4 linked regions of the Astyanax mexicanus genome follow. The main gene of each other region encodes a partner of the protein of the gene in region 3 in a complex. Links are inferred from orthologs where the notes say so. Each region holds a gene or a part of one and is shown on either strand. Other genes may lie near its edges.

What was found.
Region 1: scnm1 (region 3) and cript share a complex: the UniProt entries of both Homo sapiens proteins name them as parts of the minor spliceosome. The link is inferred for Astyanax mexicanus from reciprocal best matches to the Homo sapiens genes SCNM1 and CRIPT.
Region 2: scnm1 (region 3) and armc7 share a complex: the UniProt entries of both Homo sapiens proteins name them as parts of the minor spliceosome. The link is inferred for Astyanax mexicanus from reciprocal best matches to the Homo sapiens genes SCNM1 and ARMC7.
Region 4: scnm1 (region 3) and crnkl1 share a complex: the UniProt entries of both Homo sapiens proteins name them as parts of the minor spliceosome. The link is inferred for Astyanax mexicanus from reciprocal best matches to the Homo sapiens genes SCNM1 and CRNKL1.

The regions. Positions count from the first base shown.
Region 1 is NC_064422.1:39,625,371-39,633,280, forward strand, and holds the start of cript (cysteine-rich PDZ-binding protein), read right to left. Parts: upstream 3,490-7,910; 5' UTR 3,374-3,489; coding exon 3,358-3,373; intron 2,350-3,357; coding exon 2,284-2,349; intron 2,158-2,283; coding exon 2,103-2,157; intron 1,988-2,102; coding exon 1,884-1,987; intron 594-1,883; coding exon 529-593; 3' UTR 1-528. Other genes in the region: pigf (phosphatidylinositol-glycan biosynthesis class F protein), read left to right, coding at 5,735-5,962, 6,069-6,160, 7,637-7,753. UniProt on the Homo sapiens protein: As a component of the minor spliceosome, involved in the splicing of U12-type introns in pre-mRNAs. Involved in the cytoskeletal anchoring of DLG4 in excitatory synapses.
Region 2 is NC_064422.1:33,672,746-33,680,692, forward strand, and holds the start of armc7 (armadillo repeat-containing protein 7), read right to left. Parts: upstream 3,261-7,947; 5' UTR 3,012-3,260; intron 1-3,011. UniProt on the Homo sapiens protein: As a component of the minor spliceosome, involved in the splicing of U12-type introns in pre-mRNAs.
Region 3 is NC_064413.1:39,899,099-39,907,023, reverse strand, and holds the start of scnm1 (sodium channel modifier 1), read right to left. Parts: upstream 3,316-7,925; 5' UTR 3,198-3,315; coding exon 3,147-3,197; intron 2,969-3,146; coding exon 2,898-2,968; intron 1,994-2,897; coding exon 1,905-1,993; intron 1,577-1,904; coding exon 1,482-1,576; intron 1,370-1,481; coding exon 1,269-1,369; intron 849-1,268; coding exon 748-848; intron 606-747; coding exon 473-605; intron 195-472; coding exon 83-194; 3' UTR 1-82. Other genes in the region: lysmd1 (lysM and putative peptidoglycan-binding domain-containing protein 1), read left to right, coding at 4,541-4,720, 5,434-5,741, 6,002-6,149. UniProt on the Homo sapiens protein: As a component of the minor spliceosome, involved in the splicing of U12-type introns in pre-mRNAs. Plays a role in the regulation of primary cilia length and Hedgehog signaling.
Region 4 is NC_064408.1:84,184,228-84,192,843, reverse strand, and holds the start of crnkl1 (crooked neck-like protein 1), read right to left. Parts: upstream 3,202-8,616; 5' UTR 3,069-3,201; coding exon 3,021-3,068; intron 1,546-3,020; coding exon 1,393-1,545; intron 1,288-1,392; coding exon 1,196-1,287; intron 1,094-1,195; coding exon 935-1,093; intron 811-934; coding exon 644-810; intron 122-643; coding exon 1-121. Other genes in the region: cfap61 (cilia- and flagella-associated protein 61), read left to right, coding at 8,597-8,616. UniProt on the Homo sapiens protein: Involved in pre-mRNA splicing process. As a component of the minor spliceosome, involved in the splicing of U12-type introns in pre-mRNAs.

The sequences.
Region 1 (7,910 bases), on a different chromosome or scaffold from region 3:
GGGAACGGATGGTATTTAAATGTCATTTTGAGACCTCAGATTGGACTTGGCCTTGTCAGCAAAAATCAAGATACCAGTTTTAGCAAAGAACATCCACTACTGAACAGTCTAGAAGGTCTTGCCTGGCAACATGGTGTATTTACAAAGAAAGAGAAGTAAGAGGGAGGTCAAAATAGATGTTTTTTTACATTTAAAATATTTAATAAGTGGCACACAAAACAAATACTCCACCACTTCACTCGTGGAAGGCATCTAAATTCATTTAAACAGTGCAAGCCCATATATTGCTTTAAAGTGTTCTACAGAGGGAGGGATATCAGCACTGATACAGCTATTAACTACTGCACCAATATGCTATCACACATTTAACACCACCAACCGGTGAACTCCTCTTACTTCACTAATTTAACAAACTGAGAATAGGTAGCGAATAGAAGTTCTGAGTTAAAAAATCTTAATCACTGCTATAATTCCCTCCCTCACCTCTCCCAACATTATGAACTGTCTGTCTATGAAACAGAATTCCAATCACACTGAGGTCTGTTTGTAGTTCTTGGTGTCCAGAACCTTCTTCCCGCACATGGCACAGATCCCTGTAACAAATAAAAACATTGTTTACACAAACAATCACAGCCTTATGATTTATTGCAGTGGTTTGCAAAATGACACTTCTGTGAAAAAATCTGCAGATAATTCTACCTAAAATTTTCATAGAAAGGACAGACGAAAAAAAAAAACATACGCCATTTCAGATGGGAATAAAACCTCACAGAAAACATGTAACCTCATGTAAACTACGATTGGGTGTTGAAATTCGATGCCAAAAAGGCACCGACCAAAATGTCTTGGTACTACCAAGAATCAAATGGTTTAAAAAAAAAAAAAAGGTCTGTTCTTGATCATTTTGAATGAAACACTCATAAACGCACCAAATGCAGAGCGGAGAGAAATGCAGATCTTTCAAATTGTCCACACACCGCCACTGTGCTGAAATGTCTTAGGCACTTGCGCTGTCTCTCCCTCTCGCTTGCTCTCCTTTGCGCTGTCTACCTTGCTCTGTCTGTCTGTCTCTCGCTCACTTGTGCAGTCTCTCTCCCTCTCTTTCTCTACACTTGAGAAACTAGTATTAAGGTTTAAGGCAGAAATGTATAGTAAAATCAATAAAAAGAATGTATGTATAATATTGACTGTAATTAGGCCTGTCACAGTAATTACATTATCGACTTATCGTTCAATAAATATACATGGCCTTAGTCAATTTAATAATCGTTATATCGTCCATATTGTTTGCACTTACGAAATGCACATATATTGTGACACCGTGACGCGGGGTACTGCGGAAGCACAGAGAGTCACAGACACAGGGAGTGGATGAACTCAAAACGTACCTTCATTAGGAAAAATGCCCTCCATCAACACCCAAACCAACATGAAGAAACATATAGTAACGGCCCAGTGCGGCTGTAGTCACTTGACTTTAGTGTTTCTTAGGTTCATGTTGCCTCAGCCTTCCTCTCACCATCAGCATATCTCTCAGGCAGGATCTTAATGCCGGTCCAATGTGGGCCAGCTGGGACAAACTGAGGCTGCACATCATAGTGTGGGGTGGGACCTACGCTTCCCCTGCCTGAACACTTCGCAATGTGTATAGTCTTTAAAAGGGTGTAATTCCTTTGTTATGATATTATGTTATTATATAAGTGCCATTTAATGGTCTTAAAATGCCAACAATATCGTTTATCGCAATAGTTTCTGGGCCAACATATCATTCACAAAACATTGTTATCGTGACAGGCCTAACTGTAATCAACAAAAATAATTAAATATCCCTACTCCACTTAGCATGTCTGAAACATTCAGTGACATGTTGCTCCTAAACTTACCTTTCTTGTAAGCACATCCCTGGCAGTAATGAGATCCAGCCTGGTGGACAGAGCTTTTACATATTCTGCAGGTGGCGAAACCAGACTTTCCATAGGGATCAAACCTAACAGAGGAAATACAAGCAAATGCTTACTTTAATGTAATCAATGGTTTAAATTAGTAATCAAATAAATAAACTAATAAATTAGACATAATAAAAATAAAAGTAATAGTCATACCTGGCTTTTTTTGAGGTCAGCATTTTATTTTCATTAAGTTTCCGTCCACCACTCTCTGTAAACAAACATATTAGTTATATTGTGGCTGTTTTTACTTGTCAAAGATCTACTAATGTATTAACTATAAGCAGAGAATAAAAAAAATAACATTTTGAATAATGTTTTATTAAGCAGGCTGTACCTGTTGTATTTCGTGCACCATCCTTCCAGGTATCTGGAGTGATAACCTTACCAAGCTTCTTCTCACCTGGGAAGAAAACGAATAATAAGAAAATTAAAACCTCTCTACAAAAGTTGCACTGATTTTAGACTTCATAGAACACAGTGGATCAACAGCAGCAGATGACATGTCCCTCCAAACCATCACTGATCATCAGTAAATTTTACATTTCATTTGTAAATCAAGAGAGCAGAATCTGGAGAAAGAGTGGAGAGTCACACAGTCTCAAAGCTGATTAAGGTCTAGTGTGAAGTTTCCACCAATCAGTGATGGTTTGGAGAGACATGTCATCTGCTGGTGTTGATCCACTGTGTTTTATTATCAAGTCTAAATTCTTACAGCACTTCATGCTTCCCTCTGCTGACAACTTTGATGGAGATGCAGATTTCATTTTCTGCACTAGTTATGTAATATTCTAATCTTCTGAGACACTGATTTTGAGGTTTTTATTGGTTGTAAGCCATAATCATGAACAATAAAAGAAATAAACGCTTAAAATAGATCACTGTGTGTGATACATCTATATAATATATATATATATATATATATATATATATATATATATATATATATATATATATATATATATATATATATAATAATTAATTTATTATATAAACTGGCTATGCTAAGTTAAACTACGCTAGATTAGATAACAGAAAGAAGGGCACCCAAAACAGACTAAATAATTTATATTGTGTTGTGTTTAGTGTTTACAGTTAAACTAAAGCTAATATAAGTTTCACTAAACAGTTTATCTGTATATATAGTGAAATATGATGTGTAGGTAAGTAATTTAAGAAGATGAACCGTTTATTTGACTAGGTAAACTAAAATTATTACAGTAAACGCAGGTTATAACAGTGAAGGGTTATCTGGGCCGGAATGCTAACACTAACTCTAGCTAACAGTCTAAACAACACCAGGAAACAACGGGACACTTTCAGCTGTAACCCGAAATTCACCGATTTAATCACCTTAAATTACTGAATTATAATTAATATACGGTCTTATTACATATATAAAACTACTCACATTTATCACAGACCATCCTGCTGCCGTTAAACACAATCCTCAATCTAAAACCCGTAAACAGCAGCTGTAACTGCTCACACTGCGCAGCTCCAGAATACAGCAACCGTTTACTTTACAATAAAAGTCCTTAACTTTACAATAAAAGTCCCAGCTTAACGTTCACAGAAGAACGATAACAAATTAAATTTATATTTATTTTATTTTTTTGTTATTATTTTTTACAGATCAAATTATATTTATACTATTCTTAAAAATTACTAATTTGATTTCGTTAATTTTAATTAAAATCCTTAATATTTTCTCATTTTATTTAATATTATATATTTTTTCTTCTTTTAATTATTTACATGCTTATTTATTTATAAAACGGCAAATTACATCTACACTATTCATTGAAATATGTGACAAATTTAAAAATGTAATTGTTTTTTTTTTAAACTGTGTATATTTGTGAATTTTCGATATATTATATAGCACTATTGTTGTGTGCACGTTGGTTTCATAAAATAAATACGCTGCCAAATCAGATGTTTAAAGTGATAGTATTATAATTAATATTCAATACAATTCAAGAAAGAACATACATGATTTTTAGTAATCTTATTTGTCAGTGTAATGTTAAAAACAGACAGTAATATTTTTTGTTATTATTTTATTAGAAACATGCTTTTTAGGCAATTTAATTATCATTATAATGCTTAAAATGTACATTAATCGTAATTGTCGTTATAATGTTAGACGTATACAGTAAATATGAATTATTATCATTATAATATTAAAAATAAATATTTATTGAATTAGTAGAACATTATAATAGTAAACTATTACAGAATATAATGAGAATATTTGAGACTTTTATTTTGACAGAGTGGGGCTTTAACCTTGTTGTGTCCCGCTGATAGACTGCTCGGTGTTGCCGGATATTCGCTGTAGTTAATTCAGTCGGTCATGTCGTTCCTCTCTATAGAAACATCCTGAACCATTAAACTAAAGCTCATAGTTTAATATTTCATGTTCTACGTTGATGTTAGTTTTAGGTTAGTTTTATCAAATGCAGTAATAAAAACACAGCGAGCCTCAGAAGAGCAGAAGTCTGGAGAAAACCTGTATCAGTAAGTACTGACTGCTGTTCCTACATCTGGGTTATCTAATCTAATTCCACTGTATGCATAATATTTTAATTTAATATTATATATTTTACAGCTTATTTATTAATTACTGTGTCTTTTTGTACGAACCATTGTGTATTCTTCTGATTCATATTGGTTCGTACAGTATAGTGTTACAATTATTAGGTTTCTATGTTCATTTCTGCATCAATGTTCGATACTAAGAGCAAGTTTGAATTTTATTTTATTTATTGATGATTTTAATATTTTAAATGTATGTATTATGTATGTATGTATGTATAAATTATACATCACGTTTACTGTATACATACCGCACACCGTTTTAAAATGTTTTTGTACAACTTATTTATTGCGTTCTTTAATTGCACCTTTTTATTTAGCAATATTAAAGCCATTAAATTACCCATGTACCTGTGTCACAATATGTTTAATATTAATTTAATTTAATTTGTATACATACAGTAGAAGTGGACATTTTGGACATACCTTAAATTGAGTAGTTTTTCTTTATTTAAAAATGTCTGCATTTTAGATTAATATTAAAGTCACTTAACCTATGAAGAAAAACATATGTAAATATGTAGTAAACAAAAAGAGTCAAATAAACCAGAATATGTTTCCTATTTTAGATTTTTCAAAGTAGCTCCTCTTGCTTAGATGACAGCTTTGAATATCTTGGCTGGATTTTCTTAGTCAGTTTTATGAGGTAGAGTCACCTGGAATTCAGGCTTTCAGTTAACAGCTGTACTGAACTCATCAAGAGTTAATTACTTTAATTATTTGCCTCTTACTGTGTTTGAGAGCATCAGTTGTGCCATATTTGTGGATTAATATTTCTAACTATTTTAAGACTATAAAAAACACTGTATTGGGATAGCAATATTTTTGACTTTTTTTAAATTTGTTTTGCTATTTACTGAATTTACTTGTAATTATTTGTTTATATACATGCACTAAAATGCTGCACAATTGTGGTAGTATTAATGTTTGACACGAAATCAAGGTTTTGGTAAGTTACTGTTTACGAAACAGATAAAATGTTTTTTTTTCTTTTTAAATCTTTTGTTATATTCGCTAAGAAAATTTAAATGTTGATATTAGTTTAGGGCAATATTGCCCACCCCTACTGCGGATTTCCAAATTCTGTAACTTGTATAATAAAACACATTTTGTGCATTTTAATCAATAACACTTTTGAATTTATGCTTTTTTTCTTTTTACATAGCTCAATAAGAATATCCTGAATAATGTGGGACGTGGAGATCAGGGGGATGGCTTCGGCCCACGCCATCATCGCCGCCTCCATCTTTATGGCCACAGTGATGCCGGCCGTTCTGGTGGAGAAGTTCTCCGTGTACGGGACGCACCTAATCTGGCTGTATTCTGTTGCTGGCTCTGTTGCTGTGGTCAACATCGCAGTGTTTTGGCTTCTGGGCATCAGTCCACCAACAAAGAAGAACACACTGAGTTATAAGGTAGTAAATTAAATAATAAATAAATAATCCACACAACTCATTGGATGATATGTTGATCTGATACTTTATTTATAACATTTCTTTTCTTCTTTTTTTATTACTTCAGTTGTCTAAGCTGATCAGATCCTGTGTGTATTTGCTGCTGTCGTGTCTCTTCTTCCACACGGTGATTGTTCTGTACGGAGCGCCGCTGCTGGAGTGAGTATTATGTGTAAATAAGGCTTTTGTTGTGTAGATCGCAGTATGTAAATTAGGCTGTTAAACCAAAACATAGACCTCAGGCTGTTAGAGTTTACATAAGATGTTCCGTATCATATTTTCCCATGCATTTAGTTGAGCTGGGCAATATGGCATTATTTTATTGTGTATAGTTACATTTGTTATTGGGATTAATTATATTAAACATAATATAATATATACATCTGTGGAAAAAATAAGAGACCACTTAAAAATTATAAGTTTCTTTGATTTTACCAAATTGAAAACCCATGGAATATAAATCAAGAGGAAGATGGGTGATCACAAGCCATCAAACCAAACTGAACTGCTTGAATTTTTGCACCAGGAGTAAAGGCATACATTTATCCAAAAGCAGTGTGTAAGACTGGTGGAGGAGAACATGATGCCAAGATGCATGATGAAAACTGTGATTAAAAACCAGGGTTATTCCACCAAATATTGATTTCTGAACTTTATGAATATGAACTTTTTTTTTTTTTCGCATTATTTGAGGTCTGAAAGCTCTGCTTTTTTTTTGGCATTTCAGCCATTTCTCATTTAATGCAAATACATCCTCTGAATGACCATATTTTTATTTGAAATTTGGGAGAAATGTTGTCTGTAGTTTATAGAATAAAACAACAATGTTCATTTTACTCAAACATAAACCTATAAATAGCAAAATCAGAGAAACTGATTCAGAAACTAAAGTGGTCTCTTAATTTTTTCCAGAGCTGTATATATTTTATTTAAAAGCTGATACTCTGCCTGATACTCTGTCCTGTGATCACATTTCTGGAAAGCTGCTTTGTGATGACATCAGTTGTAAAAAGCCCTATACAAATAATACATTTGATTTAATTTGATTTGATCATTTTTTTATATACATATACAATAAAATTCTGCTAGAGTTCTAAACATTATCAAAGCTTGCTGTATCTCCTGATCCTTGTCTCTACGAACTATCTATGGATATTTTGAAGTAAACAACAAAGCACTTTTGTAAGTCACTCTAGATCAGGGCGTCTGCTAAATACCCTAAATGTAAATGTAAATTTATTCTCTAAGCATATCAATTTGTTTTTTTATTAATGCTTGAATAACATTAACTAAGACTAACTAAACTAAATGTAGATGTAATTAGTGCTGTTCAATAAGAAGTACAGCACATTTTGAAGAAAAGTGTGTATTTAAACAGCAGTCCTTAAGATTTTTTTAATTAATTGAAAGCAGATTCAGTAGTATTCCTGAGTCGTAAGGAGGCGAAATATTGTAATATATTTATTGTAATTAAAGAGTAAAGACAGAGTCCTTGCTAACATCCCTAGATTCATCTGCTTTAAACTGATTTTTTTTGTCCTGTATCCTTAAGTTTATTGTTAATTAAATATTGTGATATAATAGTTACATATATTTAACACACTGCTGTGTTGTCCTTGTTATGTAATTGTAAAGGTCAGCGCTGGAGACGTTTTCACTGGCTGTGCTGCTCTCTACTTTCACCACACTGAGGTGTCTGTGTGTCCTCGGGCCGAACGTGCAGGCGTGGATACGAGTGTTCAGTAGGGATGGGTGAGTGCTGGACTTTAGGATCTGTCTGATCAGTACTGTTGTATATATAGGAGAGTGAGTAGAGTGTGTATACACACCATAAGGGGCTCCAACTGGTCCAGCAGTCTGAAAGTGCTGATGGTGCTCTTTTTCCACATCACTTCTAGGGTGATGTTGA
Region 2 (7,947 bases), on a different chromosome or scaffold from region 3:
ATTGGGGTGAGATGACCATATGGACAGTGAACTTATGCGACGTGGTTACTTGTGGTAAGCAGGGGTCCAAGGGGGAAGCGGTGTACTTGTGTTGGTCCCGTGATGATAATCTTAAGTGTAACCATAAGGGTGATTCTCACGAAGACCTTCACATTAACATAAGAAAGTTTTTCACCTCATTGCAACATTATTTTTTTTTCAAGTTGAGAAGCTAAAATAGAATTTTATTATCATTTGAATCTTATATGATCCAGAATAATTCTCATTACCGTTACAGTAAATGACGAAGCTAGATCAACCGGTTCAAAACATTTTTTGATGATTAATTTTTGATTAATAGTTCCACAACAAAATCCCATCAACTTAACAGCACAGTCCTTGACACTTACTTTGATCTTTTTATTTATTTATTTATAGTTAAGCAACTCTCATTACCGATACAACATTTGTAAAATATCTTTTAATTTTTTAATTAATGAAAATTATTTTAGAATATGTTTGATCAAAAACTCATGGGGACAACAGGTGAGGGGTATACTATAGTAAAATGAAGAAAAGTTATGATAAGATGTGAAACTTTTGAGAAATTAACATTTTAGATCCATAACGGTAATGAGAACACAATTAAATGGTAATGAGATGCTCTTGGCTAATTTCACACATAACTTAAAATGCTAATATGCTAACAACCTATAACTTTGCCAGCTGTAAAAGCCTTATATTGTGATAATATTCATGAAATAATTTATTTTTATATTTTTAAAAGTAATGAGTATTAAACCATAACGGTAATGATAATACACAGTGTAATTGAGGACAGTTTTAGTAATATTAACACAGATTTCTCAAAGGGAGAGAATAGTGACCAACTGATCTTATCTCCATTTTGAAGCTTGTCTCTGACGTGATGCATCATGGGATAGCTGATCAATTTCAAGGCACAGTGTAATTTTTTTAAGGGGGTAAAATCATGAAACGGTAATGAGAAAAATTGTTCGGACACCGTTATTTTGTTTAAAATCAAGTACATTTTTTGTTCAACACCAAAAATATTTATATTATGTATAAATGGTGATATTTTAAATGACTTTAATCTATTTTATTGATTCGATATGCTTAGTACTTTTAATATGGTTTAACTTAAAATTAGAAAGAAGGGGTACGGACACATAACGGTAATGTGAATTTCCATATATTTTTTATTTAATTTATATAAAAATAATTTTATATGAACAATTGATCCATACAGTACTACCTATTTGCTTTACACACAATATCGGAGTTTTTGTGAATTAAGTACTGATTTAAAAAAAAATTGTCATGGACATGTTCCCTGCAGCTTCATGAGAATCACTCATAACACCGACCAAACAGCTTACAAGGCCAGACCTTGTAACAAGTGGGAAACCGTAATTAGGTCAATGCATGTTAATTGGGATCCAAGCGAACGCTGGGCGACTCGTGAGCGGGAGAACTGGAATAGTATTAACATACAAAGGGATAATGGTCCGATAAATAATCTGATAACCATTGCATTAGAGTGGCAATCTGATCCTAATGGGGAAAAATCATTTTTCATAGGGGTCCGGGTGGATGTAAGTGGTAATGACCCTGTGGGATGGATCAAAGTTAGAGCTACAGATAAACCGACCTATACTGGAGTGTGAGGAAGAGCTGGAGGAAATGCTGGAAACCAACCAGTCTTGGGGATGACTTTATTGCAATGATGTCACTTCCTCCTTTGATAGAGTTCGAATTGTTGGTCGCCTGGTGGCAGAGGGACCGTGGGAGAATTTTTCCTGTCAAAAATTGGTTGGAAGGCTGCCAGAACAGGTTTTCGCTCCCACCGTTAGTAAAATGTTCACTCACATGTTGATCAAGGGTTGAACATATGTAAATACATGATTGGAGGAATTACGGTTTGTCGACGTATCTGTTTGATACGTCGAAAGGGGGAATTGTGGGAAATCTTACGAAGAAACCCTGTTTTACCTTGAATGTATTGACACATATCTCACAATCATGATTACTTATCTTAGTATCTAAAATTACATAATCATCGTGTGAAACCTTGTATTTTATATGCATTAACCAATACTCACATTATATTTGATCATTTTTACTCACAGTGTATTTTACACGCATTTATATAAAAGATTATCCAATAATCACAGTATATTCTTTACATATATAGTAAAACATTGTTTGATCAGGCATGTGACTAACACAGACTCTATTATATGACAGATTAACCCACATTAACATATAACATATGAGATGTAGCTCAGGCTTGAAGTATTTTGTTTACTGCAGGACCCTAACTAACGGTCATTAATTCGGCTGGTACGGGGCTAAATTGCTACAAAAAAGGCTATTAGATCAAAGCAGCCTTTGGATGAGTGAGTGCCTCCCTAAAAAACCTCTACTTCAAAGCGGGGGGTGACGCACACACACAGATAGTGCCAGGATGGAAGAATACAGTCAAGGTCAAACATTAGTGGTCCGGTCAGACACGTGAAACTTGAGTACTAACACGTGAAATTATGCATATTAACATGAGCTAATCGTTAGTAACGCCTCATCAACAGGCTTACGTCATTTTGGGGTATAAACGTGGAGTCAGATCAGGAGGGGGGTCAGAACTTATGCTGGGTGGCTGTTAGACGGTCTTTCATGTGTTAGTTCTCCTGAATATTCAGTTTGTAATAAATACTTGGTTTGCTTTCAACTTCACTCCACTGTCTGACTCTCTCTATCAAACGAACACGCAGGGAGTTGTACCCTGGACGAGAGGTGGGGGTAGCCCACCTCACATTTTCTTTTCTACAACAATATATAATATAAATATGTACATAAATAATAATAATAATAATTATTATTATTATTATATAACCCCATTTAACAAAACATTGCTTCATTTAATTACTTTGAAATGAAGATATTGCTAATTATTTAACATTAAGGGACCTTAGTAGGGTAAAAGGCAAAAAAAAAAAAAACATGACACTTACCTAATAAACATTAGATTGCAAGCAAATTCACTACTACTAGGCTACTTTAGAAAAAGAAAACACGCTTAAAAACTCTAGTTAACTAGCTTAGCTACTTAGCGGAGGACTTGCTGGGTGGATGTAGTTAAATATGATGTCTCTAGATAACTATATCATTGTGATTTAATACAGATTGCTAAATATTAGCTGGCTAGTCAACCAAGCTAGCAGTCACAAGTAACACGCCATGTTTCTTTGCTTCAGTCCCAAATAGGACGCGACTGGTTCTCTAGTGCACTATCTGAGAGTGTATTGAATGGCTTTCTCATTTAAACGTTTCTAGATAGGTGCACTAGATAGGGATCACTGCGCCATTTGAGACTGAGCCGGGGTTCACCTCTCTGGATCTTCCCCCTGGATAATTCAGCAATGTTTTGTAGTTCCTCTCAAACATTGACTTTGTCGTAAATATTTTGAAACCTACTTTTACGTTTCACTCGAGGCTACAACGATTAATTTGGGTTATTGTACTTTTATTATAATTTTTAAATGTATATTAAAGTGGCAGTAAATGAAAAATCCAAGTAGATATTTGAGAATCACGCTTTATAAACTGCTGGCCGGAGGAAGTGGGGGCGTGTAGCTAACGTTACGTGTTTTGGTGCATGTCTGGAGGTCAGAGCTCTGAGTCTATGCAGAAAATACAGTTTATTATTTAACAGCTTTATTCACTGTTTTCTCTCTCTTTTCTCTTTATGGATATTCCAGCTTTATATTCCAGCATGAAGCAGTACACTTTATCAGCAAAAAAGCGTCTGGCCAAGCCGCTGCTGTTCGGCGCTTTACTCACAGGACTTGCAACAGCGTTCTATAACAGGTAAGTTAAATAAATAGCTTAAATGTTAAAGTCATGCAGCCACACCTGTATTATCTGTATTATTATTATACCTCACACTGTCTATTACTGTTCTCAGAAATGTATTATAAACATCTGTAAATCATGTAGTTAATCAATTTGTAGTCCTTCTGTATTTATTATTATTATATTCCTTTTCTGAAGTTGTTGTTGTTATTATTATCATTATAAATCTACCAAAATACTAAATGCATGTAGTTTAGTTGTTAGTTTAGCTTAGTTTAGTTTATTTTGGTTGTGCAAAACATATACACACATACATAAGGGTTAAAATAGAAAATAAAGAAAAATAACTTGCATTTAAACAAATCAATACAGACTGTATAGGAATAGGCTTTAGACTATGTTTGAGTACATTTTGAATTAAATGAACATTGTTGTTTTATTCTATAAACTACGGACATTTCTCCCAAATTCCAAATAAAAATATTGTAATTTAGAGCATTTATTTACAGAAAATGAGAAATTGATGAAATATCAAAAAAGATGCAGAGCTTTCAGACCTCAAATAATGCAAAGTTTATATTCATAAAGATTAAAGAGTTCATAAATCAATATTTGGTGGAATAACCCTGGTTTTTAATCTCAGTTTTCATCTTGGCATGTTCTCCTCCACCAGTCTTACACACTGCTTTGGATAACTTTATTCCACTCCTAGAGCTTGGTTTGATGGCTTGGGATCATCCATCTTCCCCTTGATTATATTCCAGAGGTGTTCCGTTTGGTAAAATCAAAGAAACTCATAATTTTGAAGTGGTTATTCTCATATATTTTTTCCAAAGCTCTATAAACAGTTCATTCATCAGTTAAATATATGTGTTCACCATCCTGTTTTTAAACATTATTTTAAATTTATAGAGAACTACACATTCTACATAGTTCTTCATTGCGGTTACTTCTAACATAAACAATTAGTATGCAATTCTGTAAAGTAGCTCTTACAATTCCAATACCTATATGTCTTATTTAAAGGTATGGTAAAGTGTATTTATATTATAACATTTAAAAACGAACTCAAAACCAGTTGGTCACACAGAAAAGAACATTGAGCTGGATTTTTTTTTGCTTTTAGAAGAGCCATGCCTCTTCAGTTATTGTTATATTATGTTATTGAACCATGTGTGACCCATAACTACCAAATTGTTGTTTCTGCAACCTTTGGACCAGTGTTTCTTAAACTTGGCCTTGCCCTGCAAATTTATTGCTTGATTCCCTTCTGCAACTAGTGATGGTAACAAAATAAATTTAATTAATTGCTGTACTAAAGTACTTTTATGTATCATCCTTTTCATAAAATAATTGTAATAATTTAATAGACATCAGTGACAGACTTTCTGATAAACGATGGGTGAACCAAAAGTGACAGTAGGGTCTTTTACATTAGAGCCTTGTTACAGGGTATTTGTAGATCCTTAAAACTGAAATTGAAATTGAAAGGTTTTTCAATTTATTTTGCTAATTGGTCTTAAAATGTTTCTAATTTGAGAGTACTGTAGGCATAGTGTAAATTTAACAAAAAATCAGTTGGATATCTCTTATTTTCATTTTGTAAACCTGTTAGTTTATGTTTGATTGAAATTGAAGGTGTAGTGTGCTTTAATCATTTGGTACAAAAGTGGTTTAGATGTTGTTTCTTAGTGGTATTAAAAAGTCTTACATTGTATTTGCCAATACCTGCAGATACCAATTGTTAGACAAACAGTAACAGTACAATAGAGCCATAATAGATCATCATACGGTTCCTTTTAACATTTAAGAACATTTAAAGGCAAATACTTGTGTACTTTTACTCAAGCAGAGAAAATTAGGACTTTTACTTTTACTTTGGGTACCTGTACTTTAACTAGAGTATGTGATTTGTGTACTTTGGACACCACTGTCCATCAGTAAATTAACAAGCAGTTGGTATATTACAACTGGGAAATGTAAAGGGCATGTTGCATCCAGGACCAGAATTAAGAAACTGCTTTGGACTAATCCTCACCTTTTTTCTGAAGGCATTTGTTCTTTGAAGACCTGGCAGAAATTCGGGAGCAGGAGCGAGCTCGCACTGATGCCAAACTTTTAGAAGTGTTAGAAAGAAGACAGAAACAAATGGAAGAGCTGGAGTCAAAGAAAAGTGCTGGGGACAGGTGAGCTTATCACACACCTCCAGGCAAAGGTAATCAGAGTGACACTGACGGGGGTTAGGAGTTTAAGTTTTGTGATGAACTGAAAAATTTATGACAGCTATAAAGAAAAATGGTGAATTAGGAATAAAAAAAGAAGTCAACAGAAGGACCTTCAATTTTCTGTGGACTGGAAGCTCAATTTGACTCTGGACACCTCCTCACTACTGAAGTGTAATCACAGGATTGAAGATCTGAAGATTCCCAAGACAGGCGAACAAAAACAAACTGTATTACTGTTGGTTATGTGAGTTCCTAATTTGTTTAATATATAAGCTTAAATAAGATGCATTTTCTCTCTCAGTGTAAAACATTAACTCACAATAAAGATAAGTGTTATAGTGTGTTCCATGATGAATGCTTCTTTTGAAGTGCATTTCCTCTGCCTATTATCTGCCCAATAATGGGATTACAGTGTACAAAATCAGAATACTGCTTACATTTAATTTCTGTAAGAATATCTACAAGTAAAAATCTAAAATATACATGAAAGTGTTTTGAGCAAAAGCTGAACATTTTCAGTGAAAGATGAATGTAAATGTTCACATTAGTGAGAAAATGGAAATGTTTGTATGTTTTTAAAATAAAGAAATCAACTCTTTATGTGAAATGTGTTTTATTGTGTAGCGTTGTACTGCAACACTTAGCAATAAACGTATTAAACACCTATTAATATCAGTTGACATGCAGGGAATAATTGCTGTTAACCAGCACACAACACACCCAGTGTTCTCTGTGGAAGTCATTATGCTTGTTCTGTTGATAGTGAGGCGCAGATTTTAATCTCTGTGCTTTTGCAGTAAGGCATGTCACTTCCTGTCTGTGCAGTCTTGTGTTGTCCAGTGAAAAGGCACATGACTGTACTGTTATAAGCCAGCGTGATAGTTTCTTTGAAACAAATGTGAGAAATTTAAAAAAGCTGTGTGATAAATAGAACAAATGTGTCTTTGTTTCTGCTTGTTATGTGAAACATGTCAGCTGTTATGGCAATGGAATGAACATGTTGAGAAAGGAAATTTAAAGAAATGTCTACACTGCCCTCTGCTGAAAGGTAGTGAATAACACATTTTTAGGATTGACTAAACACCTACTTTCAAAATAGATTTAGGCAAAACTTTTTGGGACAGATTCTCATTGATTTTCCATTGAAAAGCAAATAAATTCTGCGATTGGGTTTAATAATAATTTATTGATGTAAATAATCTGAATAGCTCTTTTAAAAAAAAATAATAATAATTTTGATAAAACCTGTTGAGATGATATTTAGTGATTCATTTTTCTAACAATACAACCTTTTAAACCTCTTATTTAACATTAACTTTTTAAAACACTATCCAATGTTTAAAAAAAAATAATGAATGCACAAAGTGGCCAAAAATAGCACAAACAAACACATTCGTATTATACAAAATTCTATATTTTGATATTTAAATACTAGCTGGGATCCGCAGAAACAATTTCCACTAATTTATCAAAATCTTAGCATAACTAAATTGGTAAAGATGTTAAGAAGGTTAATCAGAGTCGTCTGATGTGCAACTCTCATTTGTTTAAAAGTTGTAGCAATGGAAACCAGATGATCTGAAATGTTTAGTGTTTTGTTGATGGCCGATAATTGAAAGATGAAGTGGTTGTGAATAGGCAAGATTGATTCTTGAAAGTGTTTTGGTATTTGAGAAGACTTGAGGTGTTTTAAGACAAATTTGTCATAAACATATGTATATATATATATATATATATATACATATATATATATATATGTATATATATACATATATATATATATATATATACATATATATATATATATATGTATATATATATATATATATATGTATATATATACATATATATATATATATATACATACATA
Region 3 (7,925 bases):
ATGCGAGGTTATTTTGGGGAGGCAGGGATATGTCTTGGGCAAAGAGCATTAGGGTTCTCCTGAAGTAGCTTCCTGGTGACATCTAGGTAGTTTCACTAGAGGGTGGTATTGGGAGCGGTTCTTCCTCATCTGAATCAAACTCCACATTTTCATCCTTTACCCATTTACCACTTGGGTCCTGCAACCATCCGGCACTGAAAGAAAGAAAAAGCAATAAAAAAAAGAGACACTGTGGCTCCTAGAAAAGAATGATTTATTCTGATTCTTCTAGTAAACTGTTATGTTCAGAGAAGTACAACACATAATGCACCATACCAATGTATTGGTATAGATATTAACATTAGAATTAAGCATTTTAATCTTAACATTTAAAGTATTGCCTATTGAGGCCAAATTCATTTGACTACTCACATAGTAAAGCCATTATGGGCTGCCAAAAACTCTGTGCTGAAATGGCTAAACAATGTCATACCTCTTTAATTTGAGGTAGTGTTCTAGTTCTCTGCGCCTCTGCTCAGTCAGAGGTTCTGACTCGGGTACACTGGGAGCCTTACAGCCCTTCTTTTTATTCATCTGTTTTCCACTCTGGCACTGATCCGGATTTGCTTAAGGGGACAATAAAGTCATTCTATAAATAAACTGCATACATCTGCATCAAAATAACATCTGATGCATCCTAGAAATGCAAGCAAACAAACAAAAACTAAATAACAGTTGTATAATAATAGTAAAATAATAGTAACTTACTTTCTCCAGCAGGTTTGTGTTCTGTGTTTATGCTGCTTGTTGCAGTAGATATGTAGCTCTCTGGAAGACAGCTTTTTGATGTAACGTTCTCTGATCTTTCACTTAAAACAATTAAAAACCATTATATTATGATAAATAAATACATTATACAAATAATTGTTAAAAGAATCTGAACACACTTATATATCCTACTCCAAATATGGAGTGAGTTGTTAAAATAAGGATCTGTTTGGTGTTCTACTGAAAATTTCAACATTTTTAACACTGCAATATATATTGTAAAAAAAAAATCTATTGTAATGCCTTTTTTTTTTTTTTTTACATTGTGCAGCCCTTATAGATATAGACACAGTACATATATATATATCATTTATTATGACTGATATAATGTCAAATGTAGTGTCATATATTGTGTAAGTTGCATAATATTAAATTGACATAATAATCATGTAAAATACAACATACAATAAAAAAATAGCAATGAGTTTCTAATATCAAAATAGAAATGTATTTATCATTACCTGGCCTTTTTATGGCAGCTGCTGTAAGGAGAAGATCTTAGTAAGGCATGGTGGGTAATTTTCCGTGTCTGTGTGAGTAAAGGTGCTGAGCTTCCAGCTTCCTAAACCAATAAACATGGTTTATGAAATTCTAATGGTTCTATCTACAACACTGTACATTTTGCAAAAGGTGGGTACCATTATTGTAAGTTGAACAAACATGCTATTTTTTACCTGCTGGTCGTCTTCCTTATTAACATATTCCTGATGTCGCCTTTTATCAATTTCGTTCTGTAATCGCGATTTTTTGCCATAAAACCATTTTAGACCTAGACAGTAGAAGACCCAAGAAGAAAAGAAAAGAACCCAACAGTGATCTAATACAGACTTGACGAAAAAACAACAAAATACACATTTCAACAAGACAATGCCAGATGCACTTATTTCATTAAGTTAAATTCATGCATAAGGTAAAATCCACCAAGACCTTGTGAAGCTAAATTAAGCAAAATCCAACCACTATTCTTGGTGTTTGAACAGCAATGAATAATGTGTGAGAAGTTTAATTTTAGTTTAATTAAAAGAAAGCACAACAAAGCACTGTAAATGTCCTCAATACTTTTTTAAAGACAACTCAATAATAACACAAATTCCCACCTTCAAGATGGCGCTTTCCTTTCCTGTGTACACTCAGCATATCCACAGTATCAAACACTGGACGATGTGAACAGACTAAACAGCTATACCTATCAAATCCAAAAGAATGTCAATAAATTACTACACATATACAAAGATGATCTTACTCATCTGAAGAGTATATCAACCACATATACCATACATATTGTTTAAAGTGTAGACATATGAATATTATAAGTACAAAGCTTCATTTTGCCCCAGTGGGAGTTGCTTGGTGGCAGGCCAGAAATTCAAGGAAAATAATCCACAATAAAGGTATTTTTGTAAAACCCATAATCTAAAGCTGTGCTGGGCAATGGCTTCTGAAACAATGTGCACAACAGGAAAAACACAACACTGATGAAAAATGCTGTTGTAGCACATAGCACATTCAAGGAGTATATTTATATACTAATTGATTAAATAAATTAGACATTACATTAATTTGTCATTTGGTTTAAAATAATATAGACCTAATTCAACATGTATTTGGTCACATAGCAAAATTGCACCTATTTCTGCACACACTAACTACCAAACGTTGCTTGAACAGGAACAATGATTAACGCTAATGTGAAAAACGACTAAATTTCACTCTTAATGAAATCCACATCACTAAGAAGCAGTATCCCAGATATGGATTAGGTGACCTAATCCATATCTGGGATAATTTAGGTCTAATTGTAGACTATTATTTTAAGTTTCCTTTCTATGGAACATCTCAATTTAAATTGTTGTGTGGTCGAAGACTAGGCATAATCCTTGCTATGTAAACTGCCACACATGTAAAATGCTTTTGGCAACTCAAAAACGCAAAATATAGCTTTAAAACCCCACAATTCACTTCAGGCAATAGTTAATACAAAAATGACAGAAGCGTGCAGGGACTTTAGTGGCTACGCTAGCTAACTCTGATTCTACATCCGGTAGGTTTGCTAACGCTAGCTACAACCTGCATATTTATTCATACACCACCTTCCATTCTTCATCAGAGTGGCCTCGTCTTCGGGTATGAAGTTGGAGAGTAAATCTGCAACACGCCGTTTCTATAAGCACAAATTATTAAATATATTAAACATGCTAAAGCCAGGATTTGTGTGCTTTCACAAACTTTAAAGCTAGCTAGCTACTAGCCAAACCTGCACTTAAACAAATCGTTTAAAGCATCTACCGCATCTCACGGTTCTCTTTAAAGCATACGGGGCTTAAGGTTGTTTACGTTACCTTTAGGACATTTAGCTGGCTCTGGTCATCGCCTTCTCTTTTGAAGGACATATTGTTTTATTAAACTGTGAGTTAGTGAGCTAAGCTTATCTTAGCTAACCGAGGTGCTGCGGACTTCTCACTCACACCGACTGCCTGACTTCCTGTTTTCATTGTGGGACTCGCTGGGCGGAACCATGGCAACGCCAGATTAGCTTAGCGAGCGCATTAGGCTAATGGAAGCTAGTCCATTACAGACACATAACTACAGTGCAGCTCACTATAATTAGCGGCGCGGTCACACCGCCAACACCACAGTCTGGGCTCCGTGCTCTGGTACAACTAGCTAGCTAGCCGTAACTTTACCTAACTATTTTAGAGACTGAGCCGCGTTTAGCTACGCTAACTTAATAAGTAAGTCCGTTATCTCGTAGCTAGCAAGCAAGCTAACTAACTTTTTCGTAGCGTAGTGGTGAGTCGGTATGTCGTATTTTACTAGCTACGCTAGTTAGCTAGCTAGCTAACTGTCTAATCTGTCGTATATCCTGCTACGCAGTTTAAGTTAATGTTGAGCTAGCTAGATTTGGCAGTACGCATTAAGTTAACTTCGCTGGAGCTAAAATGTTTCCTAAAGTGGGCAGATAGCTAACGCAGTTTTTTTTAACTGAAGAGCTAGCTAGTCATGTTGTGGTCTACAGGATGGGCCGGTTAACACGGGTAAGTTAAGTTATTGTGTAACTTAGCTACTATCCTAATAAGTTACTTGCTATCCTAAACTAGCTACAGACAGTGTAAGTTATTTATTTAGTTAGCTAGTTGTGGGTTAAAATCTAATATGTATGTGTGTAAACAGTGAGTAAAAGTGAGATTGTAACGTTGGTTGCTAAATTGTCAAAATGAAATGCAGTTTCCCCCCTCTAGCATAAATCATGTAAGTTAACCCTATCTCGTTTTTTCTATTTTTGTAGCTAAGTGGGTTAACCTCTTTGTATTGAAGGCTAGAGGTTTATATTCAGCAGTAAAGTGGAGCTAGCTAGTTAACGTTAGTGTAACTTTATCTGATGATGGAGCTAACGTTAAAGTTGTAGAAATTACGTAGTTAGTTCGCGTTAGCTAGCTTGTTATCTCTGTTTAGATGGATGAACTCTATAGCTAACTATGTTGTTGGACAAGAAACTGTCCAATCTGGAAAAGAAAACTTGTTTGGCAGTGAGCTGTTTCATTACTATACTGTTTATTGCTGAATTACCTAGTGAACCTAACCAAGCTATAACGTTATAACTAGCTATTTATCTACAGTATTACTCGAGATGTAGCAGCCATCCTATTGTCTTGCTTACTAAAATTCTCAGCCCCAAACGGATCATCATCATCATCATCATCATCATCATCCTCAGTAAACTAGTAAAGTCGTCATGTCCTCGGACCGGACATCTTCACTCACTGGATCACACGGGCTCCTACGCGGTCAGCGCACCAAGTCTTATGGCAGTCTGGTGACTTCGTCCCTGTCACCAGTCAGACAGAAACGCATTGAACACAAGGTTCAACCAGGAGACACTCTACAAGGATTGTCCCTGAAGTATGGCGTGTCTGTAAGTGCGTTTATAAAAGTGCTCTACTCTAAAAGTTGTAAAACGTAGTATTGCTTTTATCCATATTCAAAAAAAAAGTAACTATTTGCGTAGCATTGGCAAGACAGGCAGGCTAAATCCATCCCTTAATTCACAATTTTACATTGTAGTATGCCCTAATGACTGGGAACATCTTATTTGCTAGTAAAATATCGCTGAAACTGTCGATGACGAGCCAGGGATTTATACATGAGTGTTGTAGCTAAGCAATAATAAGCCATAATCAAAATCTTTTATTCTTTGTGTTTAAATTAAAGTTTGGTCATGAGGGTAAATAAGAATTAGATTTTAGATTGCAGTTGTATTTAAACAAATCTAATATTTAGGTGTAAGTAAGTAAAAGAAAGATTCTAGTTCCTAAATTGTCAAAATGAAATGCAGTTTTAAGAATGTACATTACCAATATTGTCACCTTCTAGCATAAACACTGTATCTCAATATTTTTCTCAATCATTTAAATCTAGGTATTGTTCTTAAAATGGTCTTAAAATATAATAACTAGTGGACTAAAAGAACATGACAAACTTAATACAAACACTTTTTACATTATCTACTATGTAAATATTTAATAATCGTACTGTTCACATTATTACTAAGACCCGGGTGCTGCTTCATACACCTGTGTTTAAGTAGCTTGTGCCTATTTAAATGCATCTGTTTTTGACCTCTTGTAGATGGAACAAATCAAAAGGGCAAACAGACTGTACACCAACGATTCAATATTCCTGAAGAAGGTCCTCTTCATCCCAGTACTGACGGAGTCAATATCCTTTGCTAATGAGAATGAGCTACTTAATGAAGTGTCAAATCAAGAAGAGAGAAAGTCACTTCAGCAGGTTTCCGCTGGAAACGGCCAAGCTGACTGTGAAAGCCAAGAAGTGACTTCAGATCTTTCTCCATCGGACTACTTGAAAAGGATGGATAGTCTGATTAATCAGTCTAAACAAGCAGCTGTGAAAACATGTCAAGAAGGAGATAAACAGTGAGTATTTGCAGTAATTGCTTTAGTATATAATCTTATATTGTTAAAATATAAAGTTATGTTTACATACATTGTTATGCTATTATAATAGCATTATATCAGTGACATAAAATAAGGACTAAAATTACAATAATTTAATTTTTCACTGTTATTTCTGCAAAATATTATTCTGCAGTCCATCATTCATATCTAGGAAGCAAATGTCTTATTAATGGGTATGGAAGTTGAACTTTAATTTAGTTCTTTACATTTTTTTCAAGGTTTTCATCAATGAAACAGCTTCCCAGCACTCATGTCTCCAGTGCTTCTTTCCAAGGTCAACAGGCAGTGCTGGGGGCTGTACCTCTCACAATCACCAAACGTACCAAGAAACTAAGAGACAAAGAGGATGAGATTTTTCAGCTCTGACACTGGCTGCTTAGAAGATCTCTCTGGCTTGTGTCAAGTATTTAAGTATGCAAAAAAAACCTTCAAGTTGAAGCATGAATTGAGGATGTCTGATTTCATGCCTTTGAGCTAGTGGTGCTGTGTGTTTGATATTCAGACTACCAGCATCTGTGCACTTGATGACTGATTGATTGTGTTGTGGGAGTGATGTGCTCTGCTACTGTACTAAATGTGCTGCTGTGGCCTTAGGTCATGTTTGCACTCTGGCCTGTTGCCTACTATTGGCTGCATCACAAAACAAACTGTACAGTACTACTTCCTCTGCATTTTCTGTCCCATGACTTCTGTCTTTTAGTCCTCCAAGAAATCAGACATGGCTTGCTTAATGACTGTTAGAAACACTACCTCACAAAAAAGATGATAGTTATGTTTACAAAGCAGAATTCCTCAAATTAACTTGGCATTAACCGATTGAGCAGGTTTAGTCACACTGTTGAGACATGACCGTTTGCTGCAAGTAGCTAAGTGGTATGCAAATGTGATTTTAGTCAATGATTCGACCGTTAGAAATACTTATATAAGCTGCATATTCATATATACATATGGGGAAAAATGCCCAAACATGAAAACATTTCATCTTCCCTAATTTCCTAGGCACATTTCATGTTCTATTTACTAAAGGTATGTGATACAGATTTTGTTTTGTTGATTTGTTTTTGTCACGTAGCTGCGAGACTGCCAGGGTTTTATTTCACAAAGAAGGATTTTTCAGTTGGATAAAAGTAAGCCAAAAGTTTCTGCTGTCCAGTGGAAATGAGCAAACTAAGCCCTCTGAGAAATCCTGCTTTGTAAAATGCTGCCATTGTCAAAATCCATAGTTTTAGTTCTTGCCATTTTTTTGTAATTGTAACTGAGCAGTGATCTGCAGGTATACAATAAGAAACACTGTGCCCTGTGCCCTCTGTTCTCTCATTATTGTAGGGATTTAACAGATTGCTAATCACTGAAGCCGTTACATTAACTAGTGTCCTAATTTCTTATCGATTTCAGTTCAGTGTTTTATTTATTTGGTGTTTGCAGTTTTAACAAGCTGTAGCCAATTCAAACTTGACTTTTTTTGTTTGTGTAAGATTTGTGAGAATGGCCATAAACAGGAATGCCACCAAGTAGAGTCAGAGCAACATTCAGGTTTTCAAGATCTCATGACCCATTGATTAATTGCCAAAGGGAATTGCTCTAGATGAATACTTTGTAGAATGTATGTGGTTGTGTGCGCTGTGCTTACATTGTTAACAATGTAATACCATGCAGAAATATAAAAATCTAGCAGTACCAATAAAACACACAGCTGATGATGAATAAATGCAGTGTGCCCAAAGACCTTTGGATTTGTTAGTATTTTTATGCATAATTTATTTGGTTCCCAAGGAAAAAATATAAAACTGATATACAGTGCATGTGTATGAATATGAGAATGTGTTGAACACAAAAATCCATGCAAGATTTACTTTCAATTAATGGAGCAGATTTAAAAATCTTTTTTTTGTCTCCTCTTTCCATGTGCCCCCCACATGTGACTATATCTATATTTTCATGTTCTGCAAAAACCTTGTATCTTCACTCATGGCATTATATGAATATGGCAATTGTTTTAAGATTTTCAAAATGTCATGATGAATGCACCAAAATATTCAATGTTTCTTGCAGTTATATCTATTTAAATTGACAGACTCAAAGATAGTTTTTTTACTTCTATATAGTTGCTTTTGTGGAGATACATGTATTTTGTCTGACAGT
Region 4 (8,616 bases), on a different chromosome or scaffold from region 3:
TCTTCACCAAAGAACTCCACAGCTCTTTCAAACACCTTCCTCGCGTGAGCAATGTAGCCATGCTTATCCTCAAAACGAGCGTATTTGATCCAGTTCTTTATTTCAGGATGAACGATCACAAGTGCAGTGGAGTTAAAGAATGTAATCAGTTTGCTATGAGAGCCCACAATCAGGTACACATTTAACACTCACAGAACAAGTTAAATTAAACGGAATACTAGTGAAAAACAGAGTAAAAGAACATAATAACAAGAATGTAGCTGTAGCCAAATGGTACATAGTGTAACACAGATGATTTCATTTCATTTAATTTCAAATTTAAAAAATAAATAAATAAAAAATAAAGGTTTGAAAAATAAACCTCTAAACCTTACTGCAAATTAAAAAAAAAAATAAAGTGAATTTTATCCTGTTCTTCATTACACATCATTCTTTACTTTTTTTTAATTAATGATAAATAATGACCAAAACAATTTGAAAAACAAAAATACCATAACTTATTCTGTAATTTTACTATAGCCAACATTGGGTGATCAATGCAATCACATAACTCAGCAAACTGCAAAACTCATTAAAGATCAGGCAACTATTGCACACCATGCTACAATAAAATATCTAAAAGCTAAAATATATAAAAGGATATATCTCTCGTAGATGGTGCGGGCTTTGTCCACCTCCTTGTAGCGCAGCTCGAAGTTGATGTACGAGTGCCAGGCCTGTTCTTCTGGCTCCCACTCCATCCAGCGTTCAAACACCTGCCTGCAGCCGGCTACGTTCCCCAGCATCTCCTCCATGTAGCTGTATTTGTACCTGTAAATTCATTCACACCAAAGCTCACTACATGTAAATTGAAGCCAGTTTAGAATAAATGTTTTCAGTCTTCCTGTAGCAAATGTTTCTCTGTCAAAAAATTGGACAACAGAAGTGTTATTACCAGAACTGGTTGACTCTTGGCAGGATGGTTATGGCTCGGTCCCAGATGTTGCGAGCATGGTTGACCTGGCGACTCTTCATCTCCATTTCGGCATACTTCAGCCACAGTGTGACATTGCGGTGATCTACATCCAGCGCTCGCTCGTAAATAGAGCGAGCTCTTTAAACATGAATGACAGAAACAAAAGGTTTATTTTCATGTTCTTGAACATAAAAAACATGCATTTAAATATGAGTCTAACAGAATGATTAATGATAATACCTCTGGATTTCTTTCAGACTCTCCTCCCATTGTGCGTACTTTATCCAGTTGCTTATGACAGTCCTGTTCTTTCTGATATGGTCTTCAAATCCCTTTTGAGGTGATAAGAATATTGGTGATGGTTTAAACAGGAAGGTAAAATCAATGACTTTGTTAAAACAGATTGTTAGATTTTAACATGAAGCACGTTCTCTTACCTTGCGTTTTCGTAACTTGTAGTCATTTAACTCTTCTTCATCAGTGATCTTCTGTTTGGGTGGTGGAGGAAGAAGCTCGAGTTCTCTCTCCTTGGCTTCTCTCAGAAGCTGCTCAGCAGTTATCTGCACCTCTGCTGGGGCTTTATTTTTCACCTGTGGGAGCAAAAAAATGGTTAATTAAGCCACCAATGTTATGACATACTGCTAAAACTTAACACATAATATCCCATTTATTAATTATTTATCTATTAAAAACGACAAAATTGAATATTGTACTATATATATATTTTTTTATGAGTTTAAATTTAAAACACACTACTTTATATAGTCAGGTAAAATGCCATACTCAAAAACTGAACAGGATAAAACACTCTGCATTATATTTTAGAGTAGATAAGCTACACAACCACAATTACAATTACTTATCAAAAACATTTTTTCTCACTTTGAATGGTGTCCATACAGATATGCCATCACTATTATTTCATCTGCACTTTGGCTTAGTGGTTACCATGTTCATCTCCCAGCACTGGGGTTTTGGAATTAAGGCCCTATCTGGATGGAGTTTCCAGTTCAAAACATGAAGTGTTTCGTTGGTGTCTGAAAAAGCGCTGTATGTGTGTAACTTAATTCATTAACTACTATTTTTAACTACACACTATTATACAGTTAGATTCCACCAGCGGTACAGTGTTGTACCTTGCAGTTTGTCATGCCAAAAATATTTATCTATGTATGCCTTATCTGAAATTACCTATAAAATAAAAAATGTATTTATATTATTATGTATTATTTAATCTACGCATGCAGAAACTCAGATTTTCCATACGATACGAACACTTATTCACGATACACTAAAATGTCGATATATTGTGAAGCTCTACTTGCAGTATATGTTTTTTTCTATAGTTTTATACTCTAGTGTTAAAAGTTTAATACTTATTTGTTCCAGGTAGATATCAACACATGGTGGGGCTCCTATTACTGGAGGTTCAATTCCTATCTTCATTTATACAGAAGCAAGCTAGTTTCGAGTCTGGGGAAAACATACTCCAAAACCTAACTAGCTGCTACATTCTGCAGCCAGTGAAAGATAGATTTGCTGGACAATGAATACATACTAATGATAAACTTATGATAATGGCTCAAATAAGAGCTTAAAGTTATTGTGTTATTGTGACAATTTGATTAGCTAGCTAGCTTAGCTAACTACAGACCACACTCAACGGCAAACTTAGGGCTGTGCTCCAATTCGCCTATTTGAGTTCTAAGTAGGATACTTATCAAGTGTGTAGAAGTGAAGAAGAATGTTTCGCTGCACTTCAGCGGCTAGTACGTTAAACAACTGACTTAATCTAGCTTATTTCAGTTCAGCTCACGTCGTTGTTCCCAAGCTACTTAACGGTATGTGTGTACGAGAGTGTTTAGCATATTTAGCTCCGGTGAAATAGCCAGCTAACGTTAACTACCAGCTTACAACTGGTCCTTTCCCACTTTTGTTTTCTAGTTAGTGTGCGAGTGTGCAGTGCGCAGACCCTCCAATTGGTACACGTCCGTTAGCAACGTTAGCTTATCCTAGCTTATTTAGCTAACCAGCAGGTTTACTACTAACAGACACTAAAACTCACCTTGGCCACTTTGGGTATTCTCTGTTTCCCAGCAGCGGTGGACGCCATATCTGCAGAATACCTGACACCACAAAACTACAAGAACTCTGAGAGAAGACCAGGCTGTAAATATATAAACACAGAGAGCTTCAGCTAACTGGCTAACACTCTTCCACCATGGCCAGGGCTTCCGCCATTACGTTCGTCTACAAAACGGACGTCCAACGTAAGACGGAAACGTGCATACGTCATGACGCATGGTTGCCATGACAACAGGACGCCCAGCGCTAAAGTGGTTTTGAACTGGTTAGTTTGGATTAATTTACTCAGATTGTGTACATTTCTTTGCTCTTTTGGGTGAGTGACTTTCTTTCTGTTGAATTATCTTTTTACTATTTATTTTTCCTGACAAAACGACATTTTTTAGCTCAGAGAACTATAGGAGAATATAGTACAACCAAATGTGCAGGACATTTCGCTTTTAGGTCGAGTTGTGCTACCCTCTCAAACAGTGCTACCCCAGTGTATATTTAAACGTAAGAATTGTAAATACTCTCGGTAGGATTTGAAACGCCTAAATCAATAGTTATATCAGGATCCATTTAATGGTTAATCAGAGGTTTTGTTGCTCACATAAATTTGGTGCTCACATAAAATTTCCGCGCATGCGCACTGGTGTTAAGAAGCACATTTCGACACGTAGCACAATTCGACAGAACACCGCACAAAAACACTGCAATGTCCGAATGAACGCTGTATATAAACAAACAGAGCTGAGGGAGAAAGGATAAAATAAATGCACGCATAATTTTTTGTGTAGATAAATTACTAAATACGTTTTGTCATAAAAAGTACACACTTTAAATTATATCAGGGATCTATTTTCATATTCCCATGCATGAACATTTATTTGGGGCTGTTTCTGCATTTATTTATTTATTTAATTATTTACTTCCACATTTATTTATATGTGTATTTATTTAATCTCACATTTCTTCATTTATTTGTTTATTTTTACCTTTGTATTGTGGCGTGGAAGAGGAAGGAAGACCCGTGAGACTCATGCTGAATGCTCAACAGCTCCTTTATTGAACTGGCTTGCCACTCACTTACAGTCTTTAACAAGACTAGGAGAGCTAAAACCATACCCACAGAGCTCAAACAGCCCAAAGGCCACCAACACAGCTGTGTGTCTCCCAGATGGCAGATCCAGAGTGGTGCCCACCCTCTCTGCATAACCCCTCCCAAGGGAGATGCCCCACCCCTGTCATCCTCACACACAGGAGAACAGAACATGCCTGCAGGCAGCCACACACACAACCCAGAGCCGCCACATAGCCCCCCTCCCAAGGGTCAGCCGTCCCGGCGACCCCACCAACCCAACACAAACCCCGCGTACAACAGAACATTTTTTTATTTTTTATTTTTATTTTTTTACAATCAGTCGCAAACAAAGTCATTAAGGCGGGCGGGCGGCCTCCGTGCCCGCGGCGGCCTGGAGGGGCCGGGCACGGCACCGCCTGCCAGCGGCTCCGAAGAGCCAGAGTTCAGGTCAGGCACGAGTGCAAGGCCGGCAGGTTCCGCACCACCATCCACAGTGTCCGACAGTCTCGGCCTATAGGGGGCCAGCCTATCACGGTGCACAATCATAGTGCGTCTGCCCCACCGGATCTTATACACCAACTCCCCCAGCCTGGACAGCACCAAGCATGGACCCACCCAGGCCGACTGGAGCTTCGGGCACAGTCCCTTCTTCCGCTGAGGGTTATATAGCCAAACCCTCGCCCCCACCGCCAACGGGTCCCCAAAGCAGCGCGTGTCGTACACACGCTTCTGCTTCTGTCCGGCAGCAGACTGGTTGGAGCGCGCTAGACGGTTTGCTAATTCCAGCGAAGACATAAGGTCCGAGACAAAAGTGGGCGTGTCCGAAGCGTACCCGCCCCCGTCAGGAGGCGCCCCAAAAGCCAGGGAGACCGGCGTCCTCAGTTCGCGCCCGAACATAAGCAGAGCCGGCGTGAATCCCGTCATCTCCTGCACAGCGGAGCGACAGGCCAGCAGCACTACCGGCAGGTGCCTGTCCTAGTCACGCTGGTTCTTGTCCGACACCATGGCCAACTGCGCCGCCAGCGTGCGGTTAAAACGTTCCACCAGTCCGTCACTCTGCAGATGAAGGGGCGTCGTCCTGGTCTTATGGATTCCCAGGATGCGGCAGACCTCCGCCATGACCTCCGACTCGAAATTTCTCCCCTGGTCGCTGTGCAGTTCTTCCGGAACCCCGAATCTGCAAAAGAACTCCCGCACCAGGATATCCGCAGTAGTGACCGCCCCTTGGTCCGGCACCGCGTAGGCCTCTGACCACTACGTGAAATAGTCCATCACCACCAGAACAAAGCGATTTCCAGAGTCCGTCACCGGAAAGGGGCCCAGCACGTCCACGGCCACCCGCTCCATCGGGCTGCCGCACTGGTAAGGGTGAAGTGGGGCGCGGGGCGCCCTCGAGGGGCCCTTCTTGGCAGCGCACACGTCACAGCAGTGCACGAAGAGTTCCACGTCGGTTCTACACCCAGGCCAATAGAAGCGTTGCCTCAGGCGCTTCAGAGTCTTGGTGACACCAAAGTGCCCAGCCCCAGGTGACCCATGAACTCCCCGTAGGACCGATCCCCTAAGCGCCCGTGGTACCACCACCTGAAAAACGCGCCGCCCGTTCGCCGGATCCTCCCAGGTATGGCACAGCACGCCGTCGGACAAAGTCGGTTCCGTGCGCCAAGACATCATCCAAATAAACGACGCAGCACGACCGCGGAACCCCACATAAAACACGCTCCATAAGACGCTCAAAAGTAGCCGGCGAGTTACACAATCCGAATGGAAGCACCGTGAAATGCCATAGGGCTGAGCCGAGCGAGAAAGCGGTTTTCTCCCTATCCCCCGCCGCGAGGGGCACCTGCCAATATCCACTCCTCAGGTCTAACGAGCTGAACCAGGCTGAGCCAGACAGCTGGTCCAGCGTATCGTCGATCCTGGGGAGCGGGTAGGAGTCAAGCTTCGTGACAGCGTTAAGTCGCCGATAATCCACGCAAAAGCGCCAATTTCCATCCTTCTTTTTCGCAAGGACCACCGGGGACGACCACGGGCTGCTCGAAGGCTCAATAATGCCCGTACTCGCCATCTCGCGGACTAACTGCTCCGCCGCTACGCGCTTTGCTAACGCCAGACGGTGCGGCCTCAGCCTGATGGGCTGGGCGTGTGGCCACGCCCCCCGCAGCGCCAGCACTCCAGTTGGGCATCAGACTGGCTCCGACCCCACCTCTGCGAATCACGGGCAACCGGCGACGCCCCCCACGGTCCAGGATGGCTTGAGAGGATGAGTTCGGACCGCTCCGCCACCTCCACCGCGGACTCCAGGGTCTGCGGGTCGGCCAGCCTCACGTGTTTGCGCAGCTCGCTCGGCTCGAGGGCGCGCAGAAAGTGATCCAACGCGAGCCTCCTCTGGGCCGCTCGCGGAAACGTTGGGTAAGTTTGGCGGGTTAGCAGGGCCATCTCCGATGCCAGCACGCCCAGTGTCTCTCCCTGCTGTCGGCGTCTGTCCGCCACTAGCATTTTGGCGGCCGCCTCTGACGGTTGGCGGCTGAAACGTGTTCTCAGCGCCCGCGTCAGTTCGGGCAGCTCGCAGCGGCACTCGGCGGGGAGCTCGATCAGTACCCTCAGCACGTCGCCCCGCAGCGCCAGGCAGAGGTTGGCTGCCGTCTCGGCGTCCGTCCAGCCCGCACCGCCCGCCACGATCTCAAGCTGAGCTTCGAAGGCTGTTCAGTCAGCGCTGCCGTCGGAGAGGGTAAGGCGGGGTTGAGCCGTGAAGCCCGCCATCCCGGAGGCTTGCGCCGCCATCATCGCGCCGTCCGTTCCGCGAGTCGGCGCCGCTGTCCTTGCGCCATCCGCTCCGTGAGCAGCTGAGCAGGCGTTTCTCAACAAGAGGAATTTCGGCCTGAAATCGCTGCTCTGATTTTCGGTTCCTACTGAAGATTTATTCCGCCAGCAAAACGGAGAGAACAGAACTGAACTGAGCTGATCTGAGGTAAAATACTCCACTACACCAGCAGCTACCCCACTATAGTACTATCCTTACAGAATTACCTTTTTTTAGAAAACTATATATTAAAACTGAGGAAATTATTTATTAAATTAACAGATTTATGACAACTAAAGAATATTTTTTTTAAATTAACAGAACCTTTTATTGAAACAAAGGGAATTATTTATTAAAGTTAACATAACGATTTATTACAACTGAAGAAAGTATTTAATACATTTAACGTAACGATTTATTCAAACTGAGGTATGGAATTTGGAACGATTTAGTTAAAACTGAGAGAATTATTTATTACATTTTACAGAAAGATTTATTAAAACTGAGGGAATTATTTATTAAATTAAGAGAAAGACTGTTTATTAAATCAAGAGGATTATTTAATATATTTAAGTAAACATATTAATTACATCCAAGGAATTATTTATTACATTAAGTTAACAATATTTTAAATTATGGACAAATATATTTATATTATATAATATATTGTAAGAGAATGATTTACTACATTAAGGAAAATAATTTATTATATTTAAGTAAACCCATTTATTGTAATATGAAATAATTATGTTAAATAATTGTACTTAATAATAGTTATAAAATATATAAAGATTTATTGTTTGTGAAACGTCTGTACGACTGTTTATGGTTTAGGAATTGTGTAGATTGGCTGAACCCTTGTTTCTGTACGTGCCGTATTAGGAAAACGCCCACCAGCGACAGCTCGTTCTGAGTGAGACACGTCCACAAGCGACTCATCGCCTGTTGCACAGGCGACACAGAGCGATTTTATCGCGTTCGGTGTGAACGTACAGTAAGCCGGACGACGCGGCACATTATATTTAAAGTCCGCTAACTGCCCTGTACATTGTTTACTTCCGTTCAGAGGCGAAGCTTAGACATGATGCTGACAAAGTGGGCGGAGCTGGACGCACTGGACGTCCAACTCCGCCTTCCTGCAGGCTGCAGTCAGTACCCTCTCAAAATAACCGGAAAACAGCAAAAATGAGCCGTGGATACAGTTGCTTCAGGACGAGCATGTTCGTTTGGCGAATTTGAACTGACCTAGAGTACTGTCCCTGAAGTTGCTGCTGCTGGTATAAAAACACAATAGCAGCACTACTATGGAGACGAAATGAATCTGTTCATTCATTTTATCCTTATCCTGGAAAGGCTTTCCACCGAATGAACCAAAACCAATAAGGAAAACGCATCGATACGTAAGTGATGATAAAAGGATGTAGGAGTATCACACAAAGGTCTTTGTTGCGCTCCCTAAACTGCAGTATGAAAACAAAAATAAGCGGACCAAATATATACAATGTAGCAAACACATATGAACCTTGGTTCAGACCAGGGTCCGGACTTTCAGGGTTGAAAAGCAGGATTGGTCAGCTGGTGAATCAGTTATTCATTTATATGTGAATTTATTTATTCATACTTGTGTATGTTTTTTTTGTCCTCCATATGCTTGACGCTTTTGTCAGTGTGTTTGTTTTTTCTTTAGGTGAGCATGAGGGTCGTCACGTCCTC